Drosophila melanogaster: one gene and its partner. The protein of the gene in region 2 purifies or fractionates together with the protein of the main gene of each other region. This does not show direct contact. Each region holds a gene or a part of one and is shown on either strand. Other genes may lie near its edges. The genes, in order: Glos and Gem3.

Region 1 (6,684 bases), on a different chromosome or scaffold from region 2:
AGTAAATCATATCTTTCAGACACTTGGCCTGTTCGTTGTTGTCATGGAATATTTTCTTCAGCTGGACAAACAACTGGCAATTGTCCAGCGGGTGCTTCTCAGCAGTTATCATCGTGCTGCCGAAATTTCGCGTTTCGTCAAAACTCTTCCGAAGGAATTCAATTTTATGTGCGTCTTCTGTCAGATGACTATCGAAAATCGATAGTTTACCGGTGCGTACCGATTATCTTGCGTGCAAGGAATATTTTTTGAAAATGAAAATGTCCCTACAACAAAAAATTTCGCTTTGTAATAGACTCTCTGATGTAGATAGATACTAATATGACTTGTCCACTGCATGCTATGATTTAACTTTAACTTTATTTATAAACATTTTCATATGATATTTTGTATTTTGCTCAGCTGAAAATTAAATGAAGATATTTTATAAAGTATTGTAATGTATTATTCGATAATTAATTATTTGTATTATTATTGTAATGTTTTATTCGATAATTAATAATTGACATTATAAATATTGCGACTTCTCCAAAGTCAACTGCAGTTTTTTAAACAGTGGTCCTATTTAGCAAAAGTATTTAAAATAATGCGATTCGCATGCGGCACTTGAGTTTGAAATCGAGAGATAGATTTGGAATTCGTACATAAGAATACGAATAATAATAAGAACATGCTAAATTACAATAATTTCAAGCTTGCCAAAGTATTTATTTAATAGACAAAAAACTTGATGGTAGTATCCGCGCGTTCTAACGCACTGTCTCTCTTCTTTAGACGCCGTTCCGATTGCGCGGCCGCCTCCTGACGGCTCGACTCGCGCCCGTACTCTCCTCGACTATCCTCGCGTACGTGTGGCTCCTCGCGTGTTGTGACTGACTGCCCCAAGCTGCACTTGCGCCGTTCCTTTATAGGCCGCGGGGATCCCGTTATTTTCCCCTTTGCGCGTCCAACTAATTTGCCGTTAGTTCACAATGTGTGTCCTCTTGTGCGTGTCCAAAGTCCGCACCGTTACTGTTCGACCTCCGTGCCCTTGGCAGGCTCGAGTCCAAGGTCCAGCGCGGTACCGTTAGTTCACAGTCTCTCCGCTTTCCTGGCGTCCAAGGCCGCTCCCCTGCACCCAGATTTGTGGGGACGTAGACTCCTCACACATATTATTCTGATGTTCGATCATAGCGTTTTGTATTTTATATATGTATGTATGTATATAATACATAATTATACGAATAATATGAAGAACATGCAAAATTGCAATAGTTTTCATCTGAATAACTTCACTTGCTTGCCAAAGTATTTTTTAAATAGACAAAAAATTTGCAAGGCAGTAGTACATATGTTATGTGCATACAGTCATCCTTTTAAAGGACATACAAAATTGTAAAATAATCTGATATCTGGATTGAACATCATCCTAGCGTTATGATTATTATATATGTACGTCTTTAGTCGATTAGCGGCGGTGTTTCGATTTGGCTTAAGAAAATTACACTTCTAACAGCATCTCCTTAACACTTGGCCGCCTGCTGTTCCTGGATATTTATGCCGAATCGCACAGCGAAGGCTTTACTAGCTAGCTCCATAATCTCGTTGCGAATGGAGAATGGAGCCTTGGCCACAACGGCCATCAAATGATCCCAATGCTGGCGCTTCGTGATGGTCTTATTGTGTTTGGCGTGGCTCCGGAAGGCGATCAAATATTCTCGAAATAGGAATCTAAAGGCCATGAAAGCGGACTCGCTGTTCACCTTGACCACTGCATCGCTAAGATCGCCCATAACAGCACAATCGGCCCTTTTTTTAAGGAGCTTGTTGAAGAGATCGTTAGCCTCCTGTGCACTGGACTGAGTTAGCAATTTGAGAAAGGAGCGTGTGTCCTTTAAGGTGTCTTCTTTAAGGTAGATGATCCAAAAGTCCTTGTGCTTCAATTTGCTCACTTGGTTTAAGATCCTCTGGCGGAATTCTGTGAAAGAGCAATAATTAGTAGGCTTTCGTCTTGGACTTACATTTATAAGAGCGCACCAGTGCCTAGGAATGTCAGATGAGACAGACCGTCCTGCCAATACCACACCGCCAGTTCTAAATTATCCACCCGGAAATCTTCAAAGGTGGCCAAGTCCCAGCGTAGGGCATCAATGGTTTTCATGACATGCGAGATCAGCTTCCAGTGTTTCAAACGCCACTCTGGCAAACTGGCATGCAGATATGTGTAGTGCTTGGCCACCTTGACAGCTGGTGCATCGTCTCCGTTCTCCAATTTCGGGTGCTCCTTTTCGAGTGCATTTAACTCTGCAGTGCCTCGGGTGATTAGATTGCTTTCACCCAGACTAATCTGCTTGAGCAGTTTCAAGATTAACTGCAAGCTGGGCAAGTTCATGGGCTCTATAAACTTGGCCAAACCGTAGGCACACGCGTCTAGGAACCTATTTTGCGCCTGCCTAAGCTCATCCTCTCCGTAGGGACACCGTCCGTCTTTCAAACTAACGCACAGTTGTCGCGCTGACGTGTAGAGACCGTTGAGGATCTGTCGGTGGCCATATAGGTAGAGTGTAAACTGCAAGGCATACGGCTTTTGAAGTAGTTGCTCGTTCACCAAGATGTTATCGGCACAGGCGGAAATATGAAAAGCAGCATGCTTGGGACAAGACTGAGCTATGTGCCAGAATAGCTTCGAGAAGCGAGTATGCGTCACGCCCAAGTGGGAGAAATCAATCCAGGTCTGTCTTGCGTTCTCAAAGCACAGTACTAAAAATTCGGTTATCGGGAAGCGCTTATTATAATCCAATTGATTAAAGAAGCGTATGCGACGCTCCCGATGATCGGGAGCCTTGAAATTAAATCCTTGGGTAACGTTTTGCTCATCGCGTAATAGCAGTACTTCCATCTTGTCCTCGACATTTAATTGCATAAATAAGGGACGCAGTACTAGGCTTAGCAGCTCTTCGTAATCATCGTTGGACGAGGTCTCGTCCTCGTCGTCCCCCTGATTTACTTCCGTAACGGATATGCCCTCGTCCTCGACCACCATTTCGGACTCCACCACCTGACCCAGGAAACTGAGTATTATCTGGGCATGTTTCTTGGTGAGCATAATTAAATGATTTGCCATCGTTTCCAGGCACTCATCGCTGCCAAAGGCTATGAAGCGGCTAAAGAGATTGTCCAGCCCGGCGAGCAACTCCTCATTGGTGGCCATACCGGAATCGATAAAGGCCAAGAGTTCACCGATTCTCATCTCGGCAACGCGCTGCTCCAATGTTTTTGCTGCATCCGCAAAGCTCTGCATCTGCTTGCAAACCGGATGCTCTCCGAGCAACTTATCTGATTGGAGTACTTTAAGCAATTCTGCCGTCTGTCTACAGATTAGCTCCTGGCAGTTATACAAAGCACTTTTCGATTTCATTTCATGCCAATACATATACGTGTCTACGCTAACGAGCTGAAAGATACGCTGCAGAACGTCTAGCAGTATTTGGGCGAAATGCCGCAGATCAGGCATGGGATCGCTTGAGTTGCTGTCACTGATGTCCTCGGTTATTTGGCTGTAGACGGCGAAGCAATTTGGTTTCTCCCGCTTTAATGGATCATTGAGGGTATACAAAAGGACTTCTATAAGGTGATCCATAGCCTTGGCCAGGTAAATCTTTCGAGTGGATGGACGCGGCAGCGTATGGAGGCGCTGTTTAGAGTCCAAGATATGACGATGTTCCATGCAGGCTATCTGGCGCAGCAGTTGCTTATTTTCTGCGGGCAAATTGCAGTTGACAATTGCGCGACCGGCTGCTCTGAGGGCGGCAGAGAGCAGCGGTAGTGTTTCCACGCAATCTGAATTAATGACCGACAGAGCCTCATTGAATGCCTCAAAATACTGGATGGTCAGCCAGCGGGGTCCACAAGCAAGGAATTCCTCCAGCGGCTCCATGAGACAGCAGTTAACGGCTATTGCGATGGTCAAGAACAGTGGGATAGGCGGCAGCTGGTTACACAAATGCATGACATTGGCGCTCCACTGCGATTCGCACTGGATATCATCGTGTGCAGTGTTCAGCACCAGGTACACCAGTAGTCCACGCAGGTGATTCATAGCACAAGGATCCATTGTGTCTGGCGGCTGTATGATTAGATCGTGCTCCACCAGCAGGTCCGTCACTTGGTCGCAGATCTTCGCAATGTGCTCATCGTTTCCTGAGAACAAACAATGTTCATATTTGGGCACTAACCTCTGGTACTTCACTTACCACTCCAGTAAATCATGTCCTTCAGACGCTGGACCTTCTCGTTGTAGTCATGAAATAACTTCTTCAGCTGGACAAACAATTGGCAATTGTCCAGCGGGTGCTTCTTAGCAGTTATCATAGTGCTGCCGAAACTTCGCGTTTTGTCAAAACTTTTCCGAACGAATTCAATTTTATGTGCGTCTTCTCGTCAGATGACTATCCAAAATCGATAGTTGCGTACCACTTATCTTGCGTGCGAAGAATATTTTTTGAAAATGAAAATGTCCCGAATACAAAAATTTCGCTTTGTTATGGACTCTCTGATGTAGATTTATTCCTATTTATTTAACTTTATTTCTAATTTTTTTCCTATGATATGTAAATATTTTTAGCTGAAAAATAAATTAAGTATTGTAGTGCCTTATTCGATAATTAATAATTGATATTATTAACGATCCTCCCTTTCGACAGGAATGCTGAGAGATCATCTGTTCGTTATCGATAGTCTTGTATTGCGTTGGAGGGCAATAGACGCGGCTGCCTAACGGCCGGCAAAGCAAAAGCTAATGCTTAAATGGTAAAAAAATAAATGTATATTTGCTATAAAGTATAGTATTGTGTTTTTCGAAATTTGATAATTGATATTATTAACGATCTTTCCCGTTCGCCCACAATGCAGACAAATCAGCTGTTCGGTGTCGATAGTTTTGTGTTGTGGGTGGCGGTCGATAGACGCGGTTGTCTATCGGCCGGCGAAGCAAAAGCTAAAGGAAAGTAAAATAAAAGCCAAGCAAGAGCGAAACAGCAAGCGATAGGAGGAGTCGGTCGCTGCCTAAGGAACAAGCGGAACTGGGTTAAAACATGCCCATGCAATAGGCCAAATTATCTATATTATAGGCCAGACTTTCCGTCGCAGACCGTTTGGTGGTGGCGGTGGAGAAGGCGGCAGACGGCTTATAAATTATGGAGCTACGCGAACTGCGCGGTGGAAATGGTGGAAGCGTAGGAGGCATTGGAGCAGCTACAACCGGAACCCCCGGAGTGTCAGTGAATGGAGCCCCTAGTCCCGAACTAGGCGGCATCTGCATTGGAGGCGCCGCCGGAGGACAGCGTATGCCCACCAGAGCGGATATATTTATGGAACAACTAAACGCCACCAATGCCAAGAAGGTGGCTTTGCTTCTGGTCCTCGGCTTCATCGTCTATCACGGCCTGCTCAACTGGAAATACGGTGGGTCCAAGGTTACAAGATCTTTAAAGATCTAAGTACTATGAAATTTATAATGGATGTGGATACGGAATCGTACCCATTTTAAGATCACAATTGTATACCAATGTTCACTTATTCTTCTCATATTATTAATGAGTCAGTTTGACGTTTGACCATATTCGGTACATTTTAAATAGTAAAAAAGGTTTTTACAAACTTTTAATCTCAAACGTTTATGTAAATATAGATAATCATGTCGAATTTTAAGATTAGTGTACAAATTCTGCAGTTGGTTGGATTAATATAAACGACATGTAAAGTTCATATTTGGGATGTTGGCTGCCATCGTATGCTTATTATGGATATTGATTTGTTTTGTTTTGTTCTCCCGCAGGCAGTGACTCCTGCCAGTGGCTGCTGTCCAAGGGCCGATTTAAGGGCGACAACGAGTGGCAGCCGTACGGTTGCATGGTGCACAAGTACTCCCTCACGTGAGTAATCAACGCACATTCCCGACAAGATAACCCCCCAATTAATGAGTCACCCAAACCGAAATTCTCATTATTTACAGTGACACAAGGCGCTGTTTGCGTTACCTCGCCTTCTTCGACAACAAGAACAACTTTGTGTTCATTGGCGACGAGAGTATACGGCTGCTCTACGAACGATTTGTGGAGCAACTTCGCCTGCCATTGGCCGCGGATGAAATGGCCGACGAGGAGGACAATAACGCCTCGGTGACTGATGGCTCAGCCCGTTTCGAGGACAAGAAGCTGCATATGCTGGCCCAGTACATTCGGGCGGAGGAGGTGAGTCCGTCGCTTGTGGAGCAACTGTACCGTCTGGAGTCTGAGAAGCAGCTGTCCTCTGTGTACGTTGTGGGCTTCACCTATGCCGGCTTGCTCGCTGGCAACACCACAGACGATGTGCTGCGGCAATATGCCGCCAATCTTACATTGCTGGTGGCTCCGTTTCATCGCCTGGTGGCGCAAACTTCGCGGGTCCTCTGGAAGCTAGCAGACCGCGTGGACGAGGAGAAATTGCCCGCGCACTGGAAGCTGCTCCAGAACGAGCAAATCGATCGATTAAACCATGTGGCCAGAGGAGTTTTTCGCTACACGGAGGCAAGTGTTTGGGAATCCGCCTGGCACATAGCCAATGGTTTGCTGGACAACGCCATCGATGGTCATCAGCTGTGCGCCCATGGCCAGCGACTGGAGGTTCAGCTACTGTGGAACATGTACTGCAATGACTACATGAACT
Region 2 (6,355 bases):
AATTGCCTGGTGCCCCCATATATGGACGACGAGACCGCAAAAATATTATTGCGCTGAACAAATTTTTAGTTTATTTTGTTGTGAGCCATAAAAATGTTAACATCATTATAAGACTTTAACACCTGCACCAGCTGGCCGAGCATTTTTCGCATCTCGCATTTATCGCTAATCGAATTGAGTTTGCTGCCACTGCGGCAGCGACAAAATGCAACGCTATCCATGTCTCTAGGATCTATAAAATGTTGTCGCTTCCAGCTCGCTTTGAATTTGCGTTTTCTCACGCTCCTTATTGGACTTGCAACGCAGGGGGGGGAGGGGTGTTGCACTCCAAAAGAGGGGCACTTGGGGCACTGCAGATCGACGACCAATGAGCAGTACCATCCAGATGCCGGCTTTTTGCGTGCTCGACCGCAGGGCGAATGTTTTGACTATGCCACCGACGCGGCATGCCGCCTGTGGACCGTCTCATTCGCTTAACCCATTGCGAAGCACTCGCAAATGGGGACACAAAACTCGTAAAAGGAAACTTAAAAATTTTAACTGCATTTAATCAATTTAAAAATAAATTATTTATGAATCGAAGTATTTTAAAAATTAAATACAGCAGTGGAGTATAAAAAGAAAATAGTAGAACTCATTTATTTGCTGACAAACATGGCATTCGTTGCACAAATAATTCACAAAATGCATTAAATAAATAAATAAAACATAAATATATGTCATATTTTTGTACAATCCATTCTGATTTTCGAGTGGCTTTCAAAATCGAGTGAACGACTTTTGACAACAGCTAATTAATGGGTTAACACCTCTGCAGTCAGTTGCAAAGTGAGCGGCGCCCGTGCAACAATGTTGTCTGCCACACAGCTGATGCCCGTTGCCCGATGGTCGATGGTCGATGCCGATCCCGATCCCACTGACTATATGATTTATGTCCCGGCAGTCGGTTGGCGCCGCTTCTTTACCTTCATCCATCCGGCTTGCCGAAACCAAGAAAAATGTTTGTTTTCCCATCTCTTAGATAAATCATTGCGAGTGATTAAAGGGATTTAACTTTCACATTGTGGATTAATTTGTTTGATGCGATTATGTAGCGAATAAACATGAAAAACAATCAATTTTGAAATCAAAGAAGTTGAGCAATGAACTTATTGTTTAATAAATTCAAAATAGTTAGTTTCCTGCTTTAATTCATTTATTTTTTTGGTAACAAATTCTGCAATTTATTGCTTGCATAAAAAAACATTCATGGTATCCAACATGCTATCAACTATTTCGACATTGAGTATTCTAATTAAGAAAACGGTTTAACTGGCTACGATATACAATTGTAAGGAAAGAGACTGATACAGCCTCTCTTGGAACTGATCCGTTTTGTTTCCGAATGAAGTGATTAGTTGAGTTTAATTTTAATGCCTGAGTTTTCACTAGTTTTTCATTCATAACCACTTAGTAATAGTTCTGTAGATTCTTGGCCACATGGGATGCAATGAATTGGTACTGCATGTTGAAAGTCTGCAACCACAATGATTGAGCGTTCTGCATTGAACTGACATTGGTTACAGTTACAGAATCATCATCCGAAGATTCATAGGTGCTGCTCGCTACTGAAGATCGCTGTGAGCTTGATCCTGTCGCGCTGACATTGCTTCCAGCTTCCGAATCTGTTAAGGATTCAGTATCTGATTCATCATCCGAAATAAAGAATGCACTTGAATTATTTCCAGATGCGCCCGTAGATTCCGTTTCGTAAACGGAAGTGTCTATTCCAGACGAAACACTCTCCTGACTCTCTACAAAACCACTCGATGAATTTGGCCCGCCATCGCTGCCATCGTCCTCATCGTCCACAATGATCTCTTCGCCTTCGCCGTATTCCTGCGAGTCCTCCGTATCCGATTCACTTCCTGAACCAATTTCAACAGCGGCCTGTGGCATTGGTGGTATGTCCATCTGATTCGTCACATGAACACTTAACTTGTTCTTTAGATCCTTCTCCTCCTCCTCCTCCTCCTCTGATTCCGAAGACTCTTGGCTCTCGTAGTTATCAATGGATTTTAGGGACTCCTTCATAGCTTCCTTAAAATGCTTCTTCCTCTCCTTAGCACTGTTATAGTACATTTCCAGGATGGATTTATAGAGCTTATCCAGCAAAAAGCCAACCCTCGCATTGTCAATGAATTGATTCTTTGCATATTTGTGGAGCCGTTTCAAAAATCTCTCTTGATTTGTAAATTTTTGAAGCAGATGACACAAATTCATGTGTGGCAAAAGTGATATATTTTTGTATACATGACGTTTTCGCAAATGGTGTGCTTTTTTGGATCTGCATGACGAGCTCATCCGTTTTTTAAGCTTGCGTTTAACATTCGCCTTTAGTTTAGGAAATACTTTCTTGTATAGTATCACACGCCGTTTTCCATGGCCTCTCTTGCTCTTCAGCTGACGCCTTTGTTTCGACATTAATCTATTCCAGATCTCCTCCTCATCACTGGTTGCATAGTATGTGTCGTAGGACCTATCGCTATGATAGCCACATACCACCATGCTATCCGAACTGATGCTACTGGCATCGTCCACCGTGTTCGATATTACCATGTTCTGTATGGTCATCGAACTGGTTTGCGTTGGAGCAGCTAGGCAATAGGTTTTGTTGTTAATCGAGTTGGCTGGCGGTGCAGGTGGTGTCACTGTGGTTGGAGACGGCTCCTGGGTCAGTTCCAATGGTGTTAGGGTTGGTGTCAATTCGGGAGATATAAACTCCACCGGTTTTTGATTAGATTTTGACGGAACCTGGTGGTTTCCCGCTCCATTAACAGGATGATACTCTTTGCCGTCTGCTGTTCGTTGTATGTCTTCTTGCATATAGTATTTATTTACGGTGATCTCTGGTGTTTGCTGCACTTCAGTTATTTGTTTCTGTAACTTTGATGGAGTGTTAGATTTTTTCCTTCTCTCCGTCTTGTTCGTTTTAGAACCTCCAGCTTTGGAATTAGTTTCTTTAAGCTTTCCTTGCCTTACAATTTCTTTCTCTTTGACCCTAAGATTCTTATTATTATGTGAACTTTCTGGTAAGTTTTCGAGCTCCAACTCTTTTTGGGTTTCAACATTTTCTAAGGCCACTGGTAGTTTGTCTGGATCTCTCCTTTTGCCATCCTGATCCTTTTGAAGATTTTCCAAGTCAACTGAAGAAGCATCAACATTTTCTTTACTTCTATTTTCTTTAATAGGCATAGGCATTTCCTGTAGCGGATTCTCTTCCTTAATGTAATAATCAAAGTTGTACTTTTCGAAATCCCAAAAATTGAATTCATTGGGCATTGGCTCCTTGGGAAACTCCAGAACCGACCAAGCCGTAGCGATTTTTTTTGACATTTCCCTAAATCTCTGGCTCTCCTTCTTGGAGGCAATAAACGTGATGGCTATGCCTTTGGAGCCAAACCGACCAGCTCGTCCAATGCGGTGCAAATAGGTGACATGATCCTGTGGTGGATCAATGTTGATAACCAGGTTGGCATGCGGGGAGTCCACTCCGCGTGCCATCAAATCAGTGGCCACCAGGATGCGCATAGTAAAGTTTCTATAGCCCTCGAAAACATGCAAACGCTCCGATTGTTCCATGGCTCCCGAAATTAAATGACAATCGATACCACTGGCTGTAAGATAGTTCTTGTAAGAATCCGCTCGCATTTGTGAGCTAGCAAAGATGATGGCCTGTTCGTAAGGCAGCTGATTAAAGATCTGGCCAAGAATCTGCAGTTTAAGACGCATCTCCTCCACACTGTTATTCTGCTGTGGCAATTCGTAGACAAACTGCCGAATGCCCAGTAGAACGGTAGCCCTTTCGGAATTCGATATAAGCATGGGTTTGTCCATGACCTTGGCCAGACGCTCATCCAAATTCTGATCGTATGTGGCACTGCAGGCAATTATTTGCCGATTCTTGGGCATTGCCTCAATGAGTTTACTGACCGTATGCTGCAGGCTCTTTGTCTGATAAAGTTGATCGGCCTCGTCGAGCACCAGCAGTCGCAGTTTGGACACATCGAATACTCTATTCTCATACAGATGCAGCAAACGTCCCGGTGTACCGATAATGACTCGACTTTCATTCATTCGCTTGCGATCCTTGGCCACATCGGTGCCACCGATGAAAGCAGAGCATTTAAAGTCCCGAAACGATTTGCAGAGATGGAAAAATGTGTCCTGCACCTGAATGGCCAGCTCTCGAGTTGGGACCACGATCATGGCATGCGGTTGGTTTATGTTGGGATTAAAGCTCTGAACGACGGCTATAACATAGATTAGAGTTTTGCCAGTTCCACTCTTCGATTGTATTATTAGATCTGCAGATTAATATAGCAACTATTATTGATAATCTTCTGTTGCATGCAAGATATTTACCCATTTTGGCCAGTGCCATGGGTATGGCAGCTGCCTGAATCTTCGTTGGCGTCACGAAATTGTTGCGCTTCAATCCGTTCAACAGATTTCGGTATAGACGCAGTTCCTCGAAGGTCTTAACCTGTCCAGGTGCCACATCGCTACTTCGTTCCTCGCCGCCAGCTAAACTGTGCGCTATTTCGCGCTCCATTTCGCGTAAATTTCCACTTTTTGGACAAAATTTTGAAACGATTCGGTTGCCTTGCTACAATTTACACTTTTTTATTGCCGGCCAAAAAATCCATCATACGCGAATAATTATATACTAAAATATACTACAAACGAATTATCCGTGAATATTAAACCTATTTACACAGAACAAAACCTACAGTAACGAAATGTCATTTGTATTCAGAGAAATGTTTACATTTTTCATAATTTCACACAGAAATAAGGTATAATTGTTAGAATTAAATATTATTTTCTGTATTTAAATCTTATGTCGAAATATTAGCGAAGGCTCACACCAAGGTTGCTATCTGTGCTAACTATTTACCAAGCACTCCAACCAATTGAACTAAAAATAAAAAATTAATTCCTTTTGAAATCTTAACAATATATTGTTTTACAATAAAAAAATATGTACATCGTACCGTTGATTGTTTTAATATGAAATTTATATTTCCAATAGGTTGGAATAAGGCAAGATTGTCAAGCACTTAAATGCAGGGGTTTTAGCACAGCTAATAGTTGCTCTCAAACTGTACCAGCTGGCGGGAATTTCAAATAATTTATGTCGCTAAAATAAGTTGATGCAGTTAAGTAGTTTCAGCACGCTGCCTTTCAATTTAATAAATTAATTTATAACAAACAACGATAAAATCTTTTATTATTTACCTAATTGTTTAATTACGTAATTTTAATTACGTATAATTTAAAATAAAAATCAAAAAATGTTTATAATATAACGTTTTTTAAGCAATCAGACTGGGAATGTCAGAGCACATTGAGGTCACACAAAATTAGATACAAAATTTAAAAAACGACTTAAAATTTTTTCATTTTGAACTCCAAATTCGAGAACCATGTTCATACCCAAAATACGAGACATTGGTTACTTTGCGCTGCTGACATCCCTGCACTTGGGCTCAAATCTTCAGCCGGTCATCGAGGCGAATGCCAATCTAAAAACGGTCTATCCCTCCGTGAATCGTAATCTAACGCTTCAATTGGGCTATAAATACAATCACTGGATGCTGGTTAAGGCCATAATGTATTCACTACTATCTATGATCGGAGTTTGGTACTCACGACACTTGCAAAGTGGCAAAAGTGAGGTATCGATGGAAAAGAAAGGAATCCTTAAAACTACGACAACAGCTGCAGAGCAAGTGAAAAACAATTGGATCAAAAAACAGAATTCCGCATTGAAAAACGGAACCCTGCCGCGGAATATATTCCTGTTATTTGCTTTGCCCTGGATATTGACCTTTGTGGCCAGCGGATTGATCAACTATATTCGATTTTACATGGTCATACAGCATTTTTGCATATCTAACTGGAGGGCGATTCAGCTTTATGGAGAACTGCAAGGCCTCTTTTGGCATCGTTCTACATCCGTGACTTTAATACCCTATTGGTCGCAAATTATCGGCGGAGGAGTATCCTTGGAGAAGGCATCTCATCTTTCTGGAAATTGTATTTCCATTGAAACACATCTTTTGGACTGAACATGGCAATCTATATTTAAAATTTTTATTTTATGTTTGATGCAAAAATTATAATAATGGAAAATAAATCGATTTTGTTGACTTAGCTCTAAAGTTTTAAAGTGATTTTGATTTGATCAGTAAACTTAAATTATTGTAGCATTAATTGAGCATTGGAATTCGTTATTGGTTTATTGTTAGTTTTAATTTCTCAACAACATTTGTATTGTTGATTTCTTCTGGTGTTTTGCCTGCGACAATAA

What was found.
Region 1: the proteins of Gem3 (region 2) and Glos purify together in Drosophila melanogaster (affinity purification with mass spectrometry, with the first as the bait; one large-scale study listed by BioGRID). This does not show direct contact.

The regions. Positions count from the first base shown.
Region 1 is NC_004354.4:3,934,488-3,941,171, reverse strand, and holds Glos (gaulos), read right to left. Parts: upstream 4,656-6,684; 5' UTR 4,351-4,655; coding exon 4,233-4,350; intron 4,180-4,232; coding exon 2,017-4,179; intron 1,958-2,016; coding exon 1,503-1,957; 3' UTR 590-1,502; downstream 1-589. Other genes in the region: Gem4b (gemin 4b), read right to left, coding at 1-112; CG2938 (uncharacterized protein), read left to right, coding at 5,175-5,442, 5,816-5,912, 5,993-6,684. UniProt on the Drosophila melanogaster protein: Component of the survival motor neuron (SMN) complex that catalyzes the assembly of small nuclear ribonucleoproteins (snRNPs), the building blocks of the spliceosome, and thereby plays an important role in the splicing of cellular pre-mRNAs.
Region 2 is NT_037436.4:10,458,433-10,464,787, forward strand, and holds Gem3 (gemin 3), read right to left. Parts: upstream 4,670-6,355; 5' UTR 4,595-4,669; coding exon 4,405-4,594; intron 4,347-4,404; coding exon 1,450-4,346; 3' UTR 649-1,449; downstream 1-648. Other genes in the region: CG32061 (uncharacterized protein), read left to right, coding at 5,469-6,113.